Oreochromis niloticus: one gene and its partner. The protein of the gene in region 2 purifies or fractionates together with the protein of the main gene of each other region. This does not show direct contact. Links are inferred from orthologs where the notes say so. Each region holds a gene or a part of one and is shown on either strand. Other genes may lie near its edges.

What was found.
Region 1: the proteins of pink1 (region 2) and vimentin A2 purify together in Homo sapiens (affinity purification with mass spectrometry; 3 studies listed by BioGRID and IntAct, with this or other methods). This does not show direct contact. The link is inferred for Oreochromis niloticus from reciprocal best matches to the Homo sapiens genes PINK1 and VIM.

The regions. Positions count from the first base shown.
Region 1 is NC_031982.2:21,157,681-21,169,812, reverse strand, and holds vimentin A2, read left to right. Parts: upstream 1-6,848; 5' UTR 6,849-7,008; coding exon 7,009-7,535; intron 7,536-7,804; coding exon 7,805-7,865; intron 7,866-9,594; coding exon 9,595-9,690; intron 9,691-9,960; coding exon 9,961-10,125; intron 10,126-10,736; coding exon 10,737-10,862; intron 10,863-11,032; coding exon 11,033-11,253; intron 11,254-11,371; coding exon 11,372-11,415; intron 11,416-11,491; coding exon 11,492-11,577; intron 11,578-11,674; coding exon 11,675-11,716; 3' UTR 11,717-12,104; downstream 12,105-12,132. UniProt on the Homo sapiens protein: Vimentins are class-III intermediate filaments found in various non-epithelial cells, especially mesenchymal cells. Vimentin is attached to the nucleus, endoplasmic reticulum, and mitochondria, either laterally or terminally.
Region 2 is NC_031984.2:8,536,947-8,548,960, reverse strand, and holds pink1 (serine/threonine-protein kinase PINK1, mitochondrial), read right to left. Parts: upstream 5,516-12,014; 5' UTR 5,398-5,515; coding exon 5,044-5,397; intron 4,583-5,043; coding exon 4,307-4,582; intron 4,178-4,306; coding exon 4,074-4,177; intron 3,975-4,073; coding exon 3,792-3,974; intron 3,601-3,791; coding exon 3,437-3,600; intron 3,331-3,436; coding exon 3,203-3,330; intron 2,926-3,202; coding exon 2,695-2,925; intron 2,470-2,694; coding exon 2,185-2,469; 3' UTR 1,147-2,184; downstream 1-1,146. Other genes in the region: tubulin alpha-1B chain, read left to right, coding at 1-640; trypsin-3, read right to left, coding at 8,374-8,526, 8,813-9,064, 9,131-9,269, 9,430-9,580, 9,993-10,050. UniProt on the Homo sapiens protein: Serine/threonine-protein kinase which acts as a sensor of mitochondrial damage and protects against mitochondrial dysfunction during cellular stress.

The DNA of each region.
Region 1 (12,132 bases), on a different chromosome or scaffold from region 2:
TCTAAAAGTTATAGATTTCTTACCCAGGCTCATTTAATCAGCAGGATATATGCTACTTTATGAGACAGTGAATTGGACTACTGTAGTACTGGCTTTTTACTTTAGGGTTTGGTTGAGGCCAAAAATAGAGTACAAAGGAGTGAAACTGATTGGGTGAACAAAAAACTGATACTGTTGCTTTGGTTCTGTAATAATTGAATGCTTTCTTATTTTATCAGCATATCAGGATGTGTTCAAGTGATCATCAGGATCGCCAATGATAGAAAAGTGAACATTTTCATTTCTGAGTTTGAACTTTTTTATGTGCCTTCTTTTAACACCCACACTTTGGGTGTGAGTTGCAATGTTGTATGTACAGTCAGTATTTAACTTACATTGCTATCTCTATTAAAGGTGTATCTGTGTTTTAAGCCTGTGTTTACATGTTCACACATCCACAGTGGATTCTGCATTGGAAACAGAAGATTATTTTTGGCGGTTTTATTAGCCTGGCTACCACTCTATCCATCGCCTAATCAGTCAGCCGGTCAATCAATCAATCGTCACATCAGCGAGTCAGTCTGTGAGTTTGTCAGCTTGATTTTTAGAAAGATTTAGGTGAGAAACGCCGGTGGGATGTTATTCTCTCAAATAGAAAATTGACTAATGTAGCCCAGTTATAAGCAGGAGTTAAAAAAGGCAGCTCAAAAAATATACACTCATCCCTGTCTCCTCAAAATACTTTCAGGGTTGAGTTATAAAATAGTGAAAATAATCCTATTTGTGTTGAGTGCCTAGAAGCATCTCTGGACTCTGGTGATATTTGACTTTGGTTCCAACTAAGTGAAGCATGTGAATTTTGAACGAGCCGTAGGCTTACATTACTCCATTTATCCTCTAAACTATTAAAAGATTTACTTCAATAGCCTGATTTTGGACACAAAATTGTTATCTACTGGTTGTTGTTTTAAGTCTGTGTTTTAGTCCGTGTACACTATGTGAGTCTCACTCATCCTCGGGCAGGTGAAGGTGCAGAGGAGAGTGCGAGTCATCTGCAGCTGTCACTCGGTGTCAGCAATGGCCCCCTGATGCAGTCAGGCATATGCAAGTGACACTTGATGTGATCATCACTGACAGGCTAGCTTGTAATATGCGTGACCAGAGGGATGTTATCCTTGAAACAAGTCTGACCAGACGACTGCAGGTGTTAATTTGAACAGGGATAATTCATTTCGACATTTACATGCTAAATATTTGACAGGCTACACATGATGATTTTATGGTAATGTGAAGGGAGAATGCTGGGAAATGCTATTAGTGTGTGTGGGTGTTTCCGCTCCCTGTCCCTGACCCTTCCCTGCAATCACACATGGACACGCACAAACACACACACAAGCACAGAGTGAGACAAAGAAATACAGAGACAAAGAGAATGGGAGAGAGAGGTCTTTACAAAGTGACCATTCTGGATACTTTCCAAGGGTTTTGTCAGTCACTATGGAGATTTGGAAAATAGCCCTTGCACTTTAATTCCTCTGTTGTTACCATGGTTCAAAGGTATCCAGTGGAAGCGAAATGAGCACACATGCCTACTCTGTGCATTTTGCTTACCATTGACAGAAAAGATCCAGTAAGCTTAAAAACAGCAGTAAAACAGGCAGTATCGCTAAAACTAATGTTCAGTACTGTGCAAAAGTCTTGACCACCCATTATTTCTTTATATGTTGCTTCTAATGGAGCCAGACTTTCTTGTAACTTTTAAAGTGCTCTTGGTGAAGAGTTCTCCAGGCATTGTGAAGGTCTTTCAAAGTTTTTCTTTGGACCTTTTGCAGTCCAGTTCTTGAGCCTGACCATTTTCAGAGGATTTTTGGTTTTGTTTGTTTAGTTGTCAAGTGACTTAGGACTAATCTACAAGTCACTCAAGCATAAAAAAGACCCTAAACTGGACAAGTGAGAGACAAAAAAAAAATCTACACCAGATAAACAGTATCTGAAAGTTATGTCCTGAAGAAATAAGTGAAAATTCCAACAAAGACCTGATACAGAACCTGACCTCAGCTCATCCATCTACTGTTCGCCGAAGCCTCATCAGAAATGGTCTCAGTGGAAAGATGGATATCAAGAATCCATTTTGAAGGAAGGGAAACAGGGAGAAAAGGCTGGTATGCCTAAATACACAAGAACTGCTATGAAAATCAGTATCAGGTCTGATGGTGTACTGAATATAAATTGGAAATGTCAACATCATTGAAGCAGGTTGGGATCATCTTGACAGAGAACGGAACAAACAGCAGTCAACATCCAAAGAAAAGGTTTGAATGTCCTTTAAGAAGCCTGGAGAAATATTCTTGAAGACTACTTAAAGACGTGACATGAAGAATAAAGGTGATCATACCAAATATTGACTTTCAAGTTTATTACAACTGTACAAACTGCTTTTGGTTTACACATATACTTTATTTCTATGTAAGTTTGCACGTTTCAATAAACTGCTGCACTGATTTCCCATGTTCCTAGAAAAACATAAATAAATGAAGAGTGGCTCAAGACTTTTGGACAGTATTATACAAACTCTGCATTCAAACTCATGTACTACAAGTAACAGCAACCCTAAAGTTGAAATGCAAAAGCACTGATTGTGCGGTATTTCATATACCTGGTTATGAGGTTACAGGTGCTTGAAGAATCTGTTTTCTTTGGACATCAAGATTTTTTTTTTCCTTTTTTTAATGAAACCATCTGGGCAGTGAAATATCTCTCCAGTGGAGCTGCTTAGATGCTTTTGAAAATGTGACAATATAATAAAGTTTGTCAAATGACTCCGGCTCTATAATCTCAGGACTGTCTGCAGCACATGTAGCAGCGCACACATCCCATCTGAGCAGACAGTGGTGTGCACTGCAAGGAGTTTCTTCATGGTAAGTTTCTCAGCAGTATGTAAATCTGCAGCATGAATCAGCCACATTTGAAAGGACCTGCAATGTGTAAACCCCACTCTGTGAAACCAATACAGTCCTGACCTATCGGAGGAAGGACACCACTGTGTGTGTCACTGACCCTGACAGCAAGTCCTTTGGGGCCTGTGGTTTGGGGTGGGACATCTGTGGATTGAGTTTGTGAACATCTCTTAGATCAGGGAATGTCCTTGTTTAGGTGGTGTATGTCTAAATAACATGCAGAGGTTTTCCTGTAGAACACAACATTGTGTAGTAGACTGGTGTTTGATGTGATTTTTCTTGCTCTCTAAAAATTAGCATTGACCACATGAATCCAGTTTTAAACAGGCTCTACTTTCCTCCACTGATAATAACCTGACTCTCACACTGACTTGACAAATGCCCACTGAAGGCCCTGCCGTGGATTTACAACCTTTCTTTCTCACATTAAGGTTTACGTCTGTCTGCTCTCCGTGCATTAACTCATGTGCAGCAAATACTTTGTGCTGAGATTCTGCCTACAATAATCTGAGCGGCCATGACCCGCAGAGATACTGACCAATTTAAAAAGCCCAAAGGACAAAAAAAGAAAGAGAGACTTTTTGCAATCTTCTCACCACAATAACTAATTTTCACAACCTTATAGCTGAACACATCACTTATGTCCTGTGAGAATCGATGAACAGTGGCTGCACTGTCTCCACTTTAGTTCTGGTAAATAATGTTGGGGATGATCGCTATGGCTACTGGTGCGCACGGGTTTGTGATTCACCATCATGGGAGATAAAACAAAGGGTTCCTTTTTGCTTTTACCCTGCAGTTTTGAAGGGACCACACCCAGAAATAAGATTTAACTTATCTGTTGCCCTGCGCCATTACAGAGTGACTGACTCTGACTGATGTCGAGTCTTATTTGATTCTTTTTGTACGCCTCCTTTAATTAGCTCCCCCGCAGGGCTGTTGCTTTGGAGCAGAAAAGCGGAATCTCAGCAACAAAAATAAAAAGACCAAGCGATAAATTCCCAAGAATGGGAGCTATTTGGCCCAAACTGTTGCACTGTCAAGCGCCGTGCTACACACAATAATTACGGCCTACTGTCTGCATTCTCTTGATGCAGTTAGGTGACAGATCAGCAATACACAATCCCTGCTCTGTTTGTGTCAATCCAGGCCTCCTCTGTCTCTCTCTGTGGCCAATACTGGCAGAGCGGGATCATAATGGGCCTGGGAGCAGGAATTTTCATGGCCCCCACCCTGTTACTAAGTGAGCGTTGATCATGTGAATTTCCGTAGCCGCTTTTGGTAATGGGCGTCCACTGTTTTACTCCGACCACGGCCTCATGTTTGCATGCTCAAGTACCACAAACCACTTCAGTTATTATGCTTTTGCCTATCATTTCTCCAGTTTCAAAAGTTTGGAATTAAAGTTTTGAAGTTCTCTTTAGATTTTAATGTTTCACTTTAATACTAAAACATCTGCAGGCCATATTGTACAAAATCTTCCTTGATACCTTTAACTGCATTTTGCCCTTTATGCTGAAAGTTAACTAGAGGAAAATTTTGCATGTTTTCCTTATTTGATTCATCCTTGCATGTCTTTGGCAAATGCCCTTTTGTAAGATTTGATGCTTCTTTAAATCCCATTAAAAAAAGCAAAAATTTAAATGGCTTTAGACACAGATCTGACCACACACATAAACTTTATCAACTTCACAAAGGTTTGTTTAAAAATAGGAAATACTTACACAATCTCACTTTTCAGGATAGGATTCAGTGACAGCCATCTTGTAACAACACAACATGCATGCTAAATTAAGAAATTAAAAAAACTGCTCCAAAACCCCCAAATCAGTATCAAAATTGACTTCAAAACAATTAACTTCTCATACTGTGATTTTATTGGATTCGTTTATATAATTGCACAAATAAAGAAAAGACAAATAATTATTAAACAGAAATGTGGGACTGCTTTCTTGCACTTGCACAATAGCTCTAAAATTTGAAACATCCTGTCTCAGAGTGATGCTGAAAAAATATTTCATGCATTTATACTTTTCTATTGACTAGTGTAATTTATTATTATCAGACTGTGCTTAAAAACTCCCCAAAAAGCCTTAAGTTGATTCAAAATGCTGCAGTGAGAGTACTGAAAGAGACTAGAAAGAGAGAGTATATTTCTCTATGCATAGTACTGCATAGTACTGTATCACCTCAAAAGAACACTCCCTGAGTCTGGCTCTACCTGAAGCTTCTTCCTATTAAATGGGAGTTTTTCCATCCCACTGTTGCCAACTTTTTCCTCATAGGGAGTCATCTGATTGGTGGGATTTTCTCTGTATTATTGCAGGCTCTTTACCTTATAATATAAAGCACCTTGAGGTGAATGTGATTTCATGCTATAAAAATGAATTGAATCGAATAAAAAAAATATTGACCCCTGATATTGCTGAGAATATATACAGTGCACACATAAAGCTTCTCAGTGCCTTTCAGGTTATGCCCCAGAGTCATGTAAACATAGATTCAGATGATTCTTTCTCATTTATCTGCACACTCACATTATTTTCTGCACATTCAAAATCAAAAAGCAAACATTTTGTGTGTTCTGGTAATTTATTCAAAATGAGAGAGGTGAAATCCAATTTATACAATCACCATTTACTTCTTACTTGATTAACACGCTTTTGGGCACAAACGTCGACTAGAATATCTGTGCACAGCCTTAACAAATATGGCACAGATAAGGACTATGAGAATAAAACCAACAGCTTTAAACAGTCAATCTGCTTAGACAAAGCCAGGCTATAATTTGAAGTTTGCGTCACAAAGATCAAACAAGCTCACCGAGTAGCTGGGTTTATTACTGCACAGTCATATCTCAGGGGCTGCACGCCAGCTTCAGATAACCGCAGTCACCCTCACCCGCAAGCCAAAAATCTGAAAGTCTCCCTGAAAGAGATATTTGTGCATTCAGTCTTATCTAGTGAAAAAACGTCACTAAAACCAATTTGTTCTCCTGTCTTGGACTTATTTTATGTTTACTAAAGAGCAGATAACGCTCAGCAGCACCAGTGCAGCACAGTTGGGAGGTGTTAGGTGTCACTGAATCACTGAATCTCAGCAAGTCAGCAGCACTGCAGCACTGACAGCCCTGTGCACTGAGAAGGGCAAAAGACAGAGGAGGGGAAAGAAGGAAAGAGCTTTTGGACACAAAGATTAGTCCTTACGGAAATATCTCATTATTTTCGTTGCAAGTCAGTCTGAGAAGAGGGTGACAAATAATACACCCCAAACAAAAGCTTCAGGAATGCAGCAAACCTGCCAGTATTGAATGACTTTGACTCATATCCCCCAAGCTCTCTGTTTTTCTCTCCTAGGATTAGTGTGTGACATCATCAGACTTGTTCTTTAAACCTGATTAACCGTTGTGTGAGGCTGCTGACTTGCACATACTTTACTAGACCTGTATTTCTCACCCAAGCAAACACCCTTCACCAAAATAGTAGACATATGTAAAACACTACGGCATTACACTTAGACATGTAGTCATACACTGAATATGCTTAGTGCTGACATGGGTGCATTGCTTATAAACCCTAACTTGTTTTCTTTACAATTCTCAGCATTGTATGATGAAAAAAGTCCTTTCCTCTTGTGGGTGTTAAAAATGTCACTGTTTCATCTACAGTAAGTGAGAGTGTAAAATCATTCATTGTGATGTTTGGTGTCCCAGTAAAAAATTAAGATGAGCGTTAAAGTTCGGGCAAACTTGCTGAGAGTAGTCTCAAATGTGTGCAAAATCTTCAGGATCAACATCTCGGACGCAACAGCACAATCCAATTACTTTAGGCTACTGTATCCGAAGAGTTGGTGTAAATATCTGTGAGTCTGACAGGCAAATATGTGTGCTCTGATTTGCGATTGGATTCTCAATGTGCCACTCAAGTCACTGTTACGTATTTGCATAAGGAGGAGACTATAAATGAGTAACGGTTTAGGAAACGCCTTCCCAGGCGCACTCCGCGGATGCTGATAGAAACAAGATATATTCCAGATCGGCGACAGTGCTCTGGTACTTAAAGACACAAACAAGATGGCCTATAGATCAGGTCCACATTCCTCTTACCGAAAGATGTTCGGCGGGGAGAAAACCGCCGTAAGGTCCAACTACTCGAGCCGCCAGTTTTCGATCCCGGTGCGCTCCTCCCGGGTTTCCTTCGGGCTCTCCTCCACCCCGACCATATACGCGTCGAAGACCCAGAGGCTCCGGAGCAGTGCAGCCATGCCCCGGCTGGCATCCGAGAACTTGGACTTCTCCTTGTCTGACGCCATAAACTCCGAATTCATCACGAACCGCACCAACGAGAAGGCGCAGATGCAGTCCCTCAATGACCGCTTCGCCAACTACATCGAGAAGGTTCGCTTCTTGGAGCAGCAAAATAAGATCCTACTGGCGGAGCTGGAGCAGCTGCGGGGCAAAGGGACGTCCCGGGTCGGAGATCTTTACGAGGACGAGATGAGGGAGCTGAGACGCCAGGTGGACCAGCTCACCAACGAAAAGGCCCGCGTGGAAGTTCACCGGGATAACCTGGGGGACGACATCGACAGGCTGAGAGAGAAGTAGGAGGCGTGGCACTTTTCTGTCCTCAACTCCATGTATTGTTTCTTTTGTTGTCTAGACCTGTTATTCAGCTCTGGTACATTACAGAAATCTTTATTAGTTAGAGCCTAAACAGACTGTGTATAGAGTGAGAGTATGTAAACATAAATTCTTACCCTGCACTGCGCAAAAAGTTGTTTTTCGTGCTTAAAGGAGAAGTGATGATTTTTAAGTGTATATTTACAGTGGCTGCTGAAATAAAGGTTCTGCTTTATGCCTTTCTTTACAGGTTGCAGGATGAAATTTCCCAGCGGGAGGAGTCTGAGGCAAACATGCAGAGCTTTAGACAGGTACAGCTCTACACTGGTGACAGCAGCCAAAAACTGCAATAGATGGACATTTTGAGGGTGATAAAGAGAAGTGTCTTAGATCTCAAGGGCAGACCTACAGTGCCTCATATTCTCAGCTGTTTTTGGTTCAATTAAGGTTTAAGCAACCAAACTGATGGAAAGTGATGTGAAAGTAATCGGATAAACCTTTATCCTTAATATGAAGATTAACTTTCTCTTTTCTTTTCTGGGTGATCTCTCTCTAATTATTGCCCATGAGCTGTGGAGACAGGAATGCACTCTTCTGATGGCACAACAGCAGATTCTAGGCATGATCCAAAATAGCTGTAGAGCAGTGACTGACCCTGGACTGGTACAAAAGGCTAAGTTGTGACTGTTGAGTTAAATCAGGCCTGCAGCGAGAGGAGATCTTTTTAAGTCTGACTGGTCACAATGAATGAGCCGGACACAAGGGCAACAACAGTGTGGATCCAATGTGGTTATCAGAGCGAGAAGACAAGCCACCATGTGATCCGGCTGTCTCGTTCTGGGAGAGCATCAGCACAGAAAAATCTCACTTGTTATGGTCCTGTCAGAGATTGTTCCATATCACTGGTTTTCACAGGGATGAGTCATGCAGACAGTTTCCAAAGGTTGTCAAGGCATAAAAAGGTGAAAAAGAAAGTTGTCATCCCACCAATGTAGTTTAAATGTTAGACTCATGATGATTATATGCCTTTTAGGACTTGCTTTAAGTGATACATACGTTACACAGTCATGGCATTGTCTGTGTGAATGGGAGGAAGGAAGTCCCTGTGGTCTGCCTGAGTGGCACACTGACAACAATGCAGTGCCCACAGCCAGCTCTTGCTCAGTCAGGCAGACAGTCACTCTCTCAGCCTTGGGCTTGTTTGGGAACCCCTGCTGAATAGCACACTTTGTTTGTGGCATTAGTGCAGAGGCAAAGCTGCTTCATTTGCTGATACCTCAGTTGCCAGCCTGCCAACGCCCCAACAAAGCCATGGTGCCACAGCCAGTCTGTATGTATGATTAAGTATGATAAAACAGAAGACTGCTTTATGAACTTTATTCAGTAATGTTATAAAATGATAACAAGCAAAATTAGTTACCAGTAGGAGAACTGGAATTCCACTGGAGAAAACTGCAAGGCATTGCAGGTTAGGTTATTAATAACCTCTTTAATAATTTGTTGTGGTTCTGGGTATTCTCCAGTACTTAGAAAAAATTTCACTGAATTCTGTCCAGCCTTTTCCCACACCCAAAGAATGTCAGGCCAGCAGCTATAGAGGTTAATTTGTTTGTTTTATTGTATAGTAATCAAACTCAGGCTCCATCTGAGCTCAGGAATCATAGAGCAAAAGATAAAATAACTGTGCCAAACAAATGTAGATGAGAAAAAGTCACTTAGTTTCTTGAAATTGATTACAGTGCTTATGTGCAATATTTGAGCAAAGGTCTGCCGAATTGTATAACGACACGAGAAAACACCTACTCATCTGTTACCAACATCTGCAAGGACATGTCATGTGCCCACAGTTGATTTTCATTGGATGCATGTGTTTTTGACCTTAATCAACCATACAATGGGTCATTTTGTGCACTGGATTGTGTGAGGGCTTTTTACAGCATGTGCACAAGAGGGGTTTTTTTTCTTTGTCAGCAAGCACATTATGCATAACTCATGTCACCTTCACAAGTCACCTTATTAAGAGTCAGTGTTATCGTACAGGATGTGGACAACGCTGCCCTCGCCAGACTGGACCTGGAGCGGAAAGTGGAGTCACTCCAAGAGGAAATCAACTTCCTCAAGAAGCTGCATGATGAGGTAAGCCTTCCTTTTTTGTTGCCTAAGCTAAATCGGTCTACTGCAGAAGCACTGCACGTGTGCAGCCCGTGAGGAAAAAGGTACTTTTAGAAAAACTGGGCCAAATAGTTTGAAATATTTGTTAATCTGCTCAAGCGCCACATCAGCAGGGTTTAGTTTCAAAAGCTTTTTTAAGTCTTTAAGGCTAATTGCACAAAAGCATACAAAATAACTGTTAAAAAAAACTTCCTGTGCTAACAGTACAAACTGACTCTGCTGAATTTGCTGCAGGAAATGTTGGAGCTGCAAAATCAGATCCATCAGCAGCAGCATGTGCAGGTGGACATGGATATAGCTAAGCCTGACCTGACAGCGGCTCTGAGGGACGTCCGTCTGCAGTATGAGAACCTGGCCTCCAAAAACATCCAGGAATCAGAGGAATGGTACAAATCCAAGGTAAAGGCATTTTAGAGAAGCATATTTAACCAAGCGCAGTAACATGAACTTCAGCTTCAAAATAATCCCACATTCAACTCATGAATTTTTTATGTTTTTATAGTAATAACATCACCATTTATGTAACTAAACACCAGAACCAGTAGATATTAGGCCCAAAATTTATCAGGAAGGCCAATAAAAGACTAACAAGTGTCACTAATGTTTCTTTGTATCTGTTTGACAGGTAAAAAAGTAAGTGTTTGCTAACAAATTCACCGTATAAATGCAACATCATTTGTCCAAAATATGTGATTAGTTTTTCTTATCTTAAAAACTGATTATACATTAGAATGCTGAGAACTAGCAAGGTATAAGCAATCCTCCTTTCTGCCGTTCGAGCACTAGTGGAAAGTCAGTAACCTTAAAAGTGCCTCAGAGCACTGGTGCCGCAGTGGTAATCCCTGCAAGGCTCTGTCGTGGCTACATCTTTCATAATTTACACACTTCATGAAAACTGCCGTACTCCCATCTCCTTCAGCCTCTGACTCATCATTTATTGAAGAGTTGATTTCTCATTTTTTCCTTCTCTTCCTCTGTCTCTCCTCTCTGTTTGTCACTGTGATTACCAGTTTGCTGACCTCACTGAAGCTGCAGCTAGGAATAATGAAGCTCTGAGAGTGGCCAAACAGGAGTCCAATGATTACAGACGCCAAGTTCAGGCACTTACTTGTGAAGTGGATGCCCTGAAAGGAACTGTGAGTTTGCAGTTTTTGGCTGCAATATAGAAGATACAGAATATATATAAAAATATTCAACATTTGTAAAACTGGAAGCAAAGGGGGAAAAAACTGAGCACAAGTTCAGAAAATTAACTTGAACTTTTACTGCAAAAGCGTCTTTTGTTCTGTCTTGGCTGCCATCCCAGAATGAGTCCTTGGAGCGCCAGATGAGGGAGATGGAGGAGAACTTCTCCTTGGAGACGAGCGGGTACCAGGACACCATCAGCCGTCTGGAGGAGGACATTCACAACATGAAGGATGAGATGGCCCGTCACCTCCGCGAGTACCAGGACCTGCTAAATGTCAAGATGGCTCTGGACATTGAGATTGCCACCTATAGAAAGCTGCTGGAAGGAGAGGAGAGCAGGTGATGGGAGAAGCATTTTCCGAAATGCAGTAATCTGCAATACAGATATGAACACTCATTTGATTCAAGATTCAAGATGCTGATCTTAATTAGTGAGCTGTATTTTCTCTGTCTGCAGAATCTCCACCCCCTTGCCAAACTTCTCATCTCTTAACCTGAGAGGTAAGATTCTCCGTGCTTATTTTTACAGTTGGAATTACAGTTTTTGCCAGTTTCTAACGATACTTCTCTGTCTTAGAAACAATGGTTGACTCCAAACCACTTATCGAAACCACAACAACCAAGAAAGTCCTCATCAAGACCATTGAGACCAGGGATGGTCAGGTAGAATACGCTTAAAGAGATCTTTCACTTCATACAGGCACATACAGATATATCCCTGCTCAACATCTTTTCTCTCTCCCTCTGCACCCTTGTTCAGGTGATCAACGAGTCGACCCAGAACCACGATGACATGGACTAATAATGTCCTTGTCTTTACCAAACCACCAACAAAAAGCAATAAGAAGAAACACATTTCACTCGGGCTACAAGCAAGCAAACAAGCCAACAACACACAAAAAGCAAACAGCTTCGAGAAGTGCCTTTGTATGTGGTGATCCAGTAAGCCTGTTAGTTGACACAGACTGTATTTTGCTTCCTTGGCCGCAGCAAGTATTTTGTCACAGTTGTTTAGACACAATAATGAAGTCAGCACAACACAGCAGTTCTCACTGAGGCCTACAAAAATCTATCTTTGTAACCAAAGTAGTATTTTTGATCAATATAGCATGCACTTACCAGAAAAACTGTATGCTAAAGATGTCACAATTGCCTGTATGCAGCAATAAACCATGAAGACTGTTACTCGCTACTGTGCACAAGGTGTAATACTTGTAA
Region 2 (12,014 bases):
TGCTTCCCTCCGCTTTGATGGTGCCCTCAATGTTGATCTGACAGAGTTCCAGACCAACTTGGTGCCATACCCCCGTATCCACTTCCCCCTGGCCACCTATGCTCCAGTCATCTCTGCAGAGAAGGCTTACCACGAGCAGCTCTCAGTGGCTGAGATCACAAACGCCTGCTTTGAGCCAGCCAATCAGATGGTGAAATGTGACCCTCGCCACGGCAAGTACATGGCCTGCTGCCTTTTGTACCGTGGCGATGTGGTGCCCAAAGATGTCAATGCTGCCATTGCCACCATCAAAACTAAGCGCTCCATCCAGTTTGTGGACTGGTGCCCCACTGGTTTCAAGGTTGGCATCAACTACCAGCCCCCCACTGTGGTTCCTGGTGGAGATCTGGCCAAGGTCCAGAGGGCTGTGTGCATGCTGAGCAACACCACTGCTATTGCAGAGGCCTGGGCTCGGCTCGACCACAAGTTCGATCTGATGTATGCTAAGCGTGCCTTTGTTCACTGGTACGTGGGTGAGGGTATGGAGGAGGGAGAGTTCTCTGAGGCCAGAGAGGACATGGCAGCTCTGGAGAAGGATTATGAGGAGGTGGGAGTTGATTCTATTGAGGGTGAAGGAGAAGAGGAAGGAGAGGAGTACTGAAGGGGTCACGAGGAATTATACAGGAAACTTCAGTGTGTTCCTAAATACATTCCAGTCTATTTATTACCTGTTTGACTTTGTTCAGAGTATAAATTATTAAAATGCTAATATGGCTCTGTCTTAAATAAAGCTTCTGTAAAATGAAGTCTTGTATCAAACGTTTTTTTTTTGCATATCAACACCTATAAGTTGTAAGTGAGGGATTTTTAGAGAAACAATTTTAGTTTGTCCAAGATCACATGGAAGAATCCACATGAAATCTCCTTTGGAACTCAAAGAAAAAGACATTTAAGATCAGGCAGCAACTTGTTATTTCACAAACAGTGCTAATAATATTCATCATCAAACCTAAAAATCATGGATATTACTATATCACCAATATGAGTTATTTATTTAGAAAATATCTAAAGAAAAAGGAAAGAACTTGCACAACCACTTCAGGGCTCTTTAACACTTTTATTCTGAAACACTGCAAAAAAATCGACATATATCTAAAATACGTCTTATAATCTTTTTGTAGGAATCCATATACATGCATCCCTTTCATTCTTTTTGACAGTAAATTATCCTAATATGAAGGATTAAGTCCCAATAAATTAATTATTTTGAAATCTGTATATTATATTAGCTGAAAACCACAGCTCTGAACAGGTGCAAAACATGAGCATAGAGTGCAAACATCAGCAATGTGGAACAAAGTCATATCCTTAAGATTAATTAATTACTCATGCATGACACATCAGGATCAATGTGATTCATATGTTCTAGCATTTAGGACAGGTCTATGTTCCTTAGCTGTGAAATATCAGTGTACAACTGACTGCAACACATATCCAGTGGCAACCAGATCTTCAAGGGGCAACTTTATGGACTGTGTCCTACTTGTGAACCTTTCACTTGGTCTTACCCTACACAGTAGAGTCTAACTTTAATTATTTCTAAGCTATCTGCATTGACCTCCACATTCACTGATACAAAAATTTTTCATAGTTGCAAAAAAAACCTGCATGAATGCGAGTTTTTGTTTGTTTTTTTTCCACAGGCTGATATGAAAAAGTGTATCATAATTTGGAAAACAAAATATCCACTCTCATAATAGAATTACTGCCAAGCAACTCAAATGTTGGGACAAATTAAACACAATCACTCCCCAGCAGCCGTCTCATTAATCCACAATGCATTGCACATGTAAGACAAACTGCGTTTTTGTACGATGGGTACCAATAACACTTGAATGTTTGAAGTGCTTGAATTCCTGCTGATACAGTAATGAAGGCAAGTGAAACATATTCACAAGTATGTGAGAAATGCAGATAAGTAACTTTAGCAGCATTAGAGGACACAGGTTTGAGGGTCGGATACTTGAAAAGGGAGAATCACACCACTTGGCAATTCATGATAAATACTCAAACAATACCCATAGCAATTAGATGTTACAGCTAAAAAAACATACATACCACACATACAGAAGTCTGAGTATTGAAAGCAAATTTAAGCCCCAGTTTATCCATATCAGTGACTCTCAGCTACGTGTTTGAGTAAATCTAGACAGACAGCACGCAGGCCTGGCTCTGCTCTCGCCCATAGAGGAGGAAGCCTACAGCAGTGCGCAGGTCCTCCAGCTCTAGGTTAGCCAGGAAACTCCTCTGAAGCTCCGCCTCCACTCTGTTCCCACTGGGCCCCTGACAGCCCTTAAGGAGAACCATAGCAGACTGGCACAGCAACCAATCAGCCAGCTTCCTCATGCCCACGCTGTCCTGGTTAGCCAGAGCCTTCCGACCCCAGAGGCTGAGATGTAGCATGTTAGCTGCCACACGGGCAGTGGGGCGCTGCAGAGTAAGAAGAGCATTTTTAAGTAGTGGAATGGTAGAGATGCCTTCTCAGGTAAATCTACAGAAAGTTAACTTCACAATTCCCCTTAGCGTTGAAAGAATTGTGATTTTTTTAGTTCAATATTTCAGCTTAATAAATGAAACTATATTGTTTTAGTTCTCTTTTACTGGAAATGCAGTCTGAAAACTTAAATATTAAACTAAACACAGCCACTTCTTTACCTTGTTTGGGTTCCTCCTGAGAAGTAAGCGTATCACGAACTGCACATCAGCCGGCACAGTGGAGGGTAGAGGAGGAAGCTGCTTCTCCTGGTAATTCCTGCTCTCCAGTCCCACTGCTCGATAGAATGGATTTTGCTGTCCAAATATCTCGTAGGAAATGGCGCCCACGGCCCAGGCATCCGCCTTGCCGTAGTCAAGCATCACACCACATCCTGGAACTGCAGTAGCCACCTGATGACAGGAATATTGTGAGGAATGATAGTGATTAAATATGTGGTTAGATGCAGTTGATTGAAAACAATCTATTTATATGAGTTCTTATTTATTTTAATGATTCATTTCAAAACACAAAGATACAATTAGGTTACTTGAATGGTATCCAAGTGTCACCTCTGGTTATAGCCAGAGTGGAGGTAAAAGTCACAAAATTCAGTTTTAATAGTCACCAATAAGAGACGGCGCAGCAACTGTGACTATTCATTTACAATAAAGAAATATTTAAGCCTACCTCCGGAGCCATAAGTGAAGCATTCCCTCCTTTGCTGACCCAAATGCTGTTGAAGGGCAGCTGCAGACTAGAATCACTCTGGGCCAGACAGCATCCAAAGTCAGAAATCACTAAACGGGGGCAACCATCTGCATAAAGGACAAATAAATATAACATCAGTGACCCAAACAGACCTCAAGTTGGCACAGTTTACATTTGGCTTTAAACTGTTCTGTTACTGAATTTTTTTCAGACCTGAGTCGAATTCCAACAGCACGTTGTCTGATTTTAGATCCCTGTGAGCGACACCCTCTCTGCACAAATGGTCAACCCCCTCAAGGAGCTGCAGCACCATCAGGGTGCCCTGTCTGCGGCTTGGTGTGGACATTTCCAGGTACTGCCTCAGTGTGCATGGATAGCTATGATACAGACAATCTGTTAAGTTACTGAATAAAAATGACCTGACAAGTACACTATAAAAAAAAACACAAAACAAACAAAATAATGAAAATTTCTAAAAGCAAAGACAGTGACTTTTAATTTTTTTTTTTACAATGTTTCAAGCACACATACTGCGAAGGACTGAGGTAGGTAGGAAGGTAGGTCTTACTTCTTCATGACCAGGAAAAGAGTGCGATTGTTGCCCAGGCCTGCAGGGTTAAGCCTGGGTGGCAAAACATCTGGATATTCCTCCTGAGCACCTGGTAGCAATGGAACATCTGCTGTAAAAGCCCGGTACACTCTGATCACATTAGGGTGTGCTGACACTCTTTTGGGCAGGACTCCGAAATGTCTGCATGTAGAGAAATCACAGCAATTCATGAGCATGTTTCCTATCCTTAGGTCACCACTCTGAGGCAGGAATAAAAAGAACTGAGGTTATAATACTTACCCATCCAAAGTAATTTCTTCTTTTTCCTGCTTTAAGGCATGAGGACCTGCAGGCACCAGCTCCTGAGACATAGACTTTAAGATGGCCTCACTTGATGACCCAGCCTGCAAACAAATAGCAAAATACCCATCGGTACTGATGTGTGGCTCTTTTTCATTTGTTTTCATACAGAGGAGTAAAACCTAAAACAGATGTGAAATCATCTTACACTAAACCATTAGTATACTACCCACCCCAAAGTTCCACATCATCTTAATAGCAAAAGGGAAGTTCCTTAGTGAGCAGCATGTCAGAGATCGAGGTGCCTCAGTTTCCACTTCATCTTCTTTTATCTGCACCAGGGAGCATTTTCTGGCACTTTGCTTTGGAGGAGCAAATTGAGCTGCAGCCTCATACACAGCTGCATTGGAGCCTTTCCCAATCTGGTTCCCTAGAATGTAATCCTCCAGTTTAAATCCAGAGGTGAATGGCTTGAGTGGAGCCTGGAACTTCTTCTTCCTAAAAACAGCCTGCAGGGAAAAATAATAATAATAAAATAAGCTACATAAAGATATGTTCATATCAATCACATGCTATAAACAAATTTAGTCAAGAAAAACAAAGAAACAAAAACAATCAATAGGCCGTATACAACAACTTTATAAAGCCCCAAAATCTACCTAGTTTGTTATTATAAATAATAAAAAGTAAATTAATGCAGGATTGCAATCAAGTTATCCATTTAGGCCTTAGTGCAGTCCAAACAGCATGACAAATTAAAGAAAGTACACAAATCCTTTACCTATGCATTACCCTATCAACAAAACATTCATACATTCACAAACAATATGCAGAATTGGTGAAGATACAAAGAAAACAATCCGGCAAATAACCATGAAAATAAAGACTAAAAGAAAAACGACTAGTAACAAACCACTTTACTTAAATGTCGCTTAAGTACCCTACTGTGACCTACATTTAGATACCATACCTGGATCTCCTGGCATGTTGAAGCACTCTTTCTGTCATCCTCCAGCTGTTGTTCGATGAGCCCCACACCGAGACCGAAAGCCAAAAATACAGCTCTGTTACGCGGGGACCCACCAGCAAACCTCCTGAAGCCGGCGGACTGAAGCTGAGCTGCCAGGCCTTTCAGAGAAGTGCGGTAATAGCGGTACCGAGACGGCAGGAAAGCCTGAGGCTGAGCGGTGCGGACCGACGGGCCTGCACGGAAACGGTCAGCTCGGAGCTTTGCTGCGAGTCGGCCACCGGATTTCAGGAGACCGAGCTGAAAGACCGACCGGCCCAACTCGAGTCCCCGGCTAATAGCGTGTTTCACAGACATAATTTACCCGGACAGGTAATTTAAGCTGCTACCAGGGAGTTTTACTTATGCCTAGCTTTCCACACCTAGCTCTCGAAAGGACAGCGTTATGTAAACAAAACAATAACTGCTGCTGCTGAGCATGCGCAAACCTTTAGACTGTCTTCTCTTCGCTTACCGGAGGGTGGCGTTTAGCGATCAGGTGACATATCAGGGTAGAAACACAAATACATTTATGCATGTCACAAAAACAGGGTAACCGGGGGTTCAAATTTATGCGGGGCTGCCGAGCACAATTGTCTCTACTCTAGTCTAGTCTTCTGGCTCTAGTTTACAAACGTCAACACACAAACTGTATTAAAAAAAAGTATAACAATCCAATTCCCAGTGGGGTTTAAAAGGTTGTTTACAACTTGACACAAACATGTTTGAATAGTTTCTCCCTACTTAACTACTCAAGGTGATGTAGATTTTTTTCTTTTCTTGTGTATTTGTTTTTCTTTTCTTTTTTTTCTCTTAAAAAGTCATCCAACTATCCATCTGGATACTTAATTTTATTTGAAAAATCTGACAAAAATTATGGCTTGCCTATGTGGTACAGACCATCCAAGAATTTTGTGCTTTGGTTTTGGTGAAAATCTGGTATTTTCTTAATCTGTTACTTTGCACTAATTAGTTAGTATCTGTATCTGTGCATTACACCTGTACAGTTTATAAATGAAGCCTGCTAATTAAGTTTGCTGTTTTAAGTGTTTCAGTTCATAGTTTTGTTGTATGTTGGATACAACATGTTAATTTTGTGAATTCTGGTCTCACTAGAGTCAAAAAGGAGGGTAAAGCTTTACCATGTCACTGGCATGTTGGCAAGCAAGTGTGTAGTGTCCCTCAGTTTTCACAGTCCTGATATAAGCTGTCAAAAATGCTCAGCCTGAAGCTTCACAACAGGACTTCTCTAAACATCAAGGTGGCTATGTCCATTTTTTTTTAAATGTATGATCTCACAAGAAATGTGTGGCTCAAATAAGAGATATTTTAATCATTAATCCATCACTACCAAAAATTATTAATTTACACTTAACAGTTACGACACTAGAGAGGAACCACACATGTGAGCATAATCTGTAGCATAAGACTATAAAAACAAATTTAGCTTCCATTAATACTTATAAAAAATTGGACAAATGGTAGCATTTGCTTGATCACATGATCAATACCAAACCTGCAGCATGTATAGTTTATCTCTGAAGTTCCATTGGGTAGGATCCAGTCACCTTACTGTAAACCACAGATGTAGATTTCAGATCATTTTAGAACAGAGATTTAAATGTGCAAATAAAAAAGCAGAGGGAATGCCCCTGACAGGGGTGTGTCTTCTTTTCTTCAGCAATACGTTTTGTTTACTTCCAAAGTACGAATAAAAAATTAACCATATAATATTACAAGTTCAAACGACCACCTACTCTTTTTTGGTAAATATAATTATCACACACACACACACACACACACACACACACACACACACTGTAGTGCTGTATATAGTGGTGTAATCTCAGTGAGCAGCTACACAGCTTCTCCTACAGTGCTCTGCACACAGGCAGGTTGGAGGAACCGGATGAAAAAAGGAGGGAGAGGTCACATGCTAAGACATTCTCTTAAAAAGTTTGAAAACCACCAAGGTTAAAGGCACTTTTTTACCTTTTTTTCATTTTGTGTAGATCGTTGTTTGTTCGTTTGTTGTTAGTTGTTAGTTTAGCACATGCATAACCAACTAACTAGATGAGGTCACTGTACCAAACAAGGACACTGATTTATAAAAGTCTTCATTTAACAATCATTTCCACTGGACCAGGTTGTAGATGTATCATACACACTTTTTGCACTATTTTCAACTTATACCTGGTCATAATGTTTCACTATTAAATTATAGTTAACCTCAAAAGGTTCACATGCATTTCCCAGTAATATACTTCCCAGCATGCCCTTATTTTTAATCAGAGCTTTTTAGGATATGTTGTAACTTTGTTAGGTTAACTGGTGTAGGTGTGAATGTGAGCATGAATGTTTAGGTTTAGCTTAACAACGGAAACCAGCACCAGAGAAGCTGTAATTTTTCCAGTATGCAGCAGGATAGCTTCTATATTTAGTTGTTTAGATACAGTACCCAACAACTTTATTAGGCACCCAGTGTGAGGTTAATGCCACAGCTGCCCTAAGTTTCTCTGTAACACAAGTAAATACTTTCCTTATGTTTAAAACAAGACCCGAGTTCAGTGAAGTCGATAATTTTGAGTTTTAAACAGGTTTTTGACAGATTTCTAAAATATTTGTTTGTCTATCTGCATTATGTAGCCATTTGCTATATGTTTTATGAACATATAAAGGTCAGCTCTTCTTTGTGAAGAAAAAATTGACCACTTTGTTGATTTTTATATTCTAAGCAACATTTGGCCTTTTTGAACGTTGAACACAAGAGACTGATAGAAGCATGATACAGACAATCAGCATCTTCACTGTCACTGTGGATGGGTTAGCCTTTTATTCCATACTAGTAGTAGCAAGTATCACTTGTCAGTTTATAGACCCAGTGTATTGGTCAAAACCTTCTTAAAGCTGCACTAATTGAAACTGTGATATTTACAATGAAACTTAAATACAATATAAGAGGTTTTGCTTGTAGTAAAAGGCATACTAGGAAAATTGATTCATGTGAAAACAGCAACATTGGTGATTTTTCAATAGTAATTCACTTTGAATGATTAACACAGTTACTAATTATACTGCTATAGTACCAACAAAAAATAAAAATGATATCATAATAACAAGTCTTTGTCTGTATCAATTATAATTCCTTATCGGAAAAAAGAGTGACAATCAATTAATTATAGGCGCAATATTGACATATTTCCAGGCAACATTTTAGAAATTCTAACCTTAATATTTATTCATTTCAGGACCTCTGAAAATTATGTTCATTTAACTGTTTTTGAAGAATATAGCTCATGGTGTGTTGTCAATAACCCAGTCAATCCACTGAATATAGCTCCTGACTCTGGTGTAGACACCAGGGTAGTACTGATTTGCACAGCTGATACCCCAGGAGACAATGCCCTCAAAGTAGCCATTGCAGACAAGGGGGCCCCCGGAGTCGCCCTGTGGAGTACCACAACAAATCAGGGTTGTTTTTTGATAATATAGCATTACACATTCACCCTTGAATGACAAATGTTAAATAGTATTAAAATGACACTGAAATTATATGTAAATCATCATTGGTTAAGATATATTTTTATAGCATATATAACAGGTGTCATGTTGCCTATAAATTTAAGAGGAAATATTCATTTAAAAATAGTATTACTCTACAAAACGCAGCTGCTAAATAGTAATTAAGCATAGCGCATACACATAATTAATCATGTTTTCCATGAATGTATACCTGGCAAGAGTCCTTTCCTCCGTATGGAGATCCAGCACAAAGCATACCTGGTTTGATCCTGCCCCAGTAATACCAAGTGCAGTAAGGTATTTCTCTTACATCCACAGCACGTAGCACAGGGGAGAGGGTGTAACTGTAAACCTGTGTCACTCCCCAGCCACTCACTATGCAGGTGCCACTAAAGGGAGGGGTACCTTCATCAGGTATCAGAACTGGCTGAACATATGCATTCAGCTGTGCTGGTCTGCTAAGCTGTAACAAAAACCAAAGTTAGGGTGGTGGTACCATTTTTTGTAGCTAAGTACAAGTCCTACTTACCTTAATTAGCATGATGTCATTCTCATATGTCCTGAAATTATAATTGTGTACATATATCTTTGAGACATTGAAGATCTGTTCAAATCCTTCGTTTTTGATCAGGCTGTGCTCGCATAGCACAACCCTCATAAAAGTACTCCTGTTAAACAGAAAGAGACAAAAGTTGCTCACTTAAAACGAAATGAAAATTTCACATATGTTCTTTCATAACAGACCTTCTCTCCTCTTTAATTATTAAAGATTTTCGTTAATGTTTATTAGTAAAGCTGTGTATCTTTCTGTATGGTGTCAGTACTTACGGTCTCCAGCAGTGGGCAGCAGACACCACCCACTCTGGGTGAACTAGCGTGCCTCCACAATAGTGTTCCCCGACCTCAGTCTGAAGGGATGCCTGATATTTGATAGAGTATGGTTCGACCTCCTGACCCCCGATGATCCTTCCTGTATTCTCTGTAAACAGTGATGAAAGATAGAGCGAATCAGACAATTTGTCTCTATATTTTACATTCTTTTGGTTTACAACAAAAAAGATAAATTGTCAGGGTAATGTGCCTTAACAAAAAAAAGCAGAATATTCTAGTAAGTTTCTTAACTTAAAGAAGTCCAGTTGCTTTCTTTCCAAGCTCCTTAGAATATTCCAGTACTGTATTCATTTCTACAGTATTGTCTGACTTCATAAACTCAGTCAGACAGCAGTATTACAGCCACGTCACAGGAAATTTCTCCCGATCGACTAACATGTCTGTTTTTGTCAGCTCTTTTAAAGTCCTTGTGTATTACTCTTTGGATCTAAACATTGAGACTAGGATTTCATATCCTTTGCTAAGTGTCTTGGAGTAAAAAATTCAAAGATATAACTCACGTGAATTTACTGAAAAAGACAAAAGAAGCAGCACAGTAGTGATTTGCACAGCAGCCATATTGTAATTGTTACCTGTAACACAGAACAACGACAGCTAGCAGCTTCTATATACATAAATTACTGTCATTTTAATTGCTTGTGCTAATGATCTATAAATTATTTGCTTAGTTTTGCTTAATTTGGTTATTTTGCTTTGCTTAAAAAATGTATTGCAACAATTCCGCTCAAAAAAATACAGCACTTAATGACCATTTAATTAAATTCTTTTGAACAATGAGCTTTTATTTTTAAAATGCAGTTAGACTGTGATTTTTTTTAGACAATTGAACATTAATTACAATTTCACTAAAAAGGGTTACAATTAAATTTCGCTTACCTGAAAGTCTAGACACAGGAAGCTTCAGAGTATCTCCAAATGATGAGACCAATGCTCTCCTCTTTCTTTTTATAGTGTAACTATAGCCTTGTCAAGATCTTTTGTTTAAATTATCTTTTCGTCTTGTTGTGTTCTGTAACCATCTCACGCTCCTACAATGAAACTGACCTACAACCTGACAAAGCTAAGGTGTTCCATGTCCATTTCTAAGCTCAAGTTTTATACTTGCAGTTTTTAGGTTGGCAACGCCTCTACAGGATCAACAATATCTCCAACAGTTATTGCTCTATTAAATGTTGATAATGTTTTTCCTCCATGATTATGTAGGATATAAAATAATAAAGTTAGAAAAGTCACACTGGCAAGATTAACTTCACTTCAAAACTAAAAAACACAAAAGACAGAAGCACTTCCAGTTCCTATGATTCATTTTATGAACATCTAAAAAATCCGAATATTATTTAAACATCTCAAAATTTCAAATGTTTCAATTTCAGTGTGTGAATGTGTGTTTGAATGGGTGGATGACTGAATCTGTAAAGCGCTTTGGGGTCCTTAGGGACTAGTAAAGCGCTATACAAATACAGGCCATTTACCATTTACCAAATGTATTAGTTGAGATTTAAATGAAATAACTGGACATCACAGACAATGATAAACAATTTACTGGCTAAGAGTATATTGCTAAACTCTGGCTTTATGGTGTTTGTGTTAATGCAAACTAATAGAGATAAAATACAAACAATGGTTGGTATTATTTTCTATGAAGACTCTGACTTCCTCCCATAGTCCAAAGACACTTAGACTAAATTACTCATAGGTGTGAATGTGAATGGCTGTCTGTCTCTCTGTGTTAGCCCTCTAAATGGCTGGTGATGTCCAGGATGTACCCCGCCTCTTGCCTTACGGTAGCTGGGATAGGCTCCAGCCACCTATCAAACTCCCTCCCAAGGATAAGCGAAAGAGAGTGGATGAACAGAATATTAATTATAACCACATAGAGACTTTGTCGTCTTCAAAATTTTCAGAAGGAATTCAGGAGAAATATCTGTCCTTTAGAAAGATTTAATTTACTTCAGCAGTTGAAATTACAAGTTTACTGTGCTGGAACGCAGTGTGATAATCTACCTCACACCAAGGATAACCGTGAGACGGGCTGCACAGATTATATACTGTGACAGTAAAAAAGATTATCATGGCTAGACAGACACACAACACACCCCCTGCGTGGTCTTGATTATCTATATTATCCATTATTCTTCAGCTGATTCTAAGGCCCAGTTCAGGACATCTTGTTCAGGCTTCCTGACTCAGAGACTATTCAAACCATGATCGTGTGTGTGTGTAAGCATGCTGCAAAAAACCCTCTGCACTCAGCATCACTAATAATATTTCAGCCCAGTCACAGCGTTGGATGAAACTTTTCATCATCAAAACATGGAGCGCCAACACGTTTATGAGCACATTTGCATTGTGTATGAATAAGATAATAAAACAGCTTTATTTAATAATTTTATAAACAATTAATAATTTTTCAACCCTAACAACTTCTTAAGATTTCTTCTCTGTTGCTTGCCCCTTTCAGCTCTGTCAGAGTTTTATAGTGTAAGGCCACTGGACACAAGCTCTTTATGATTTTCAGCCCT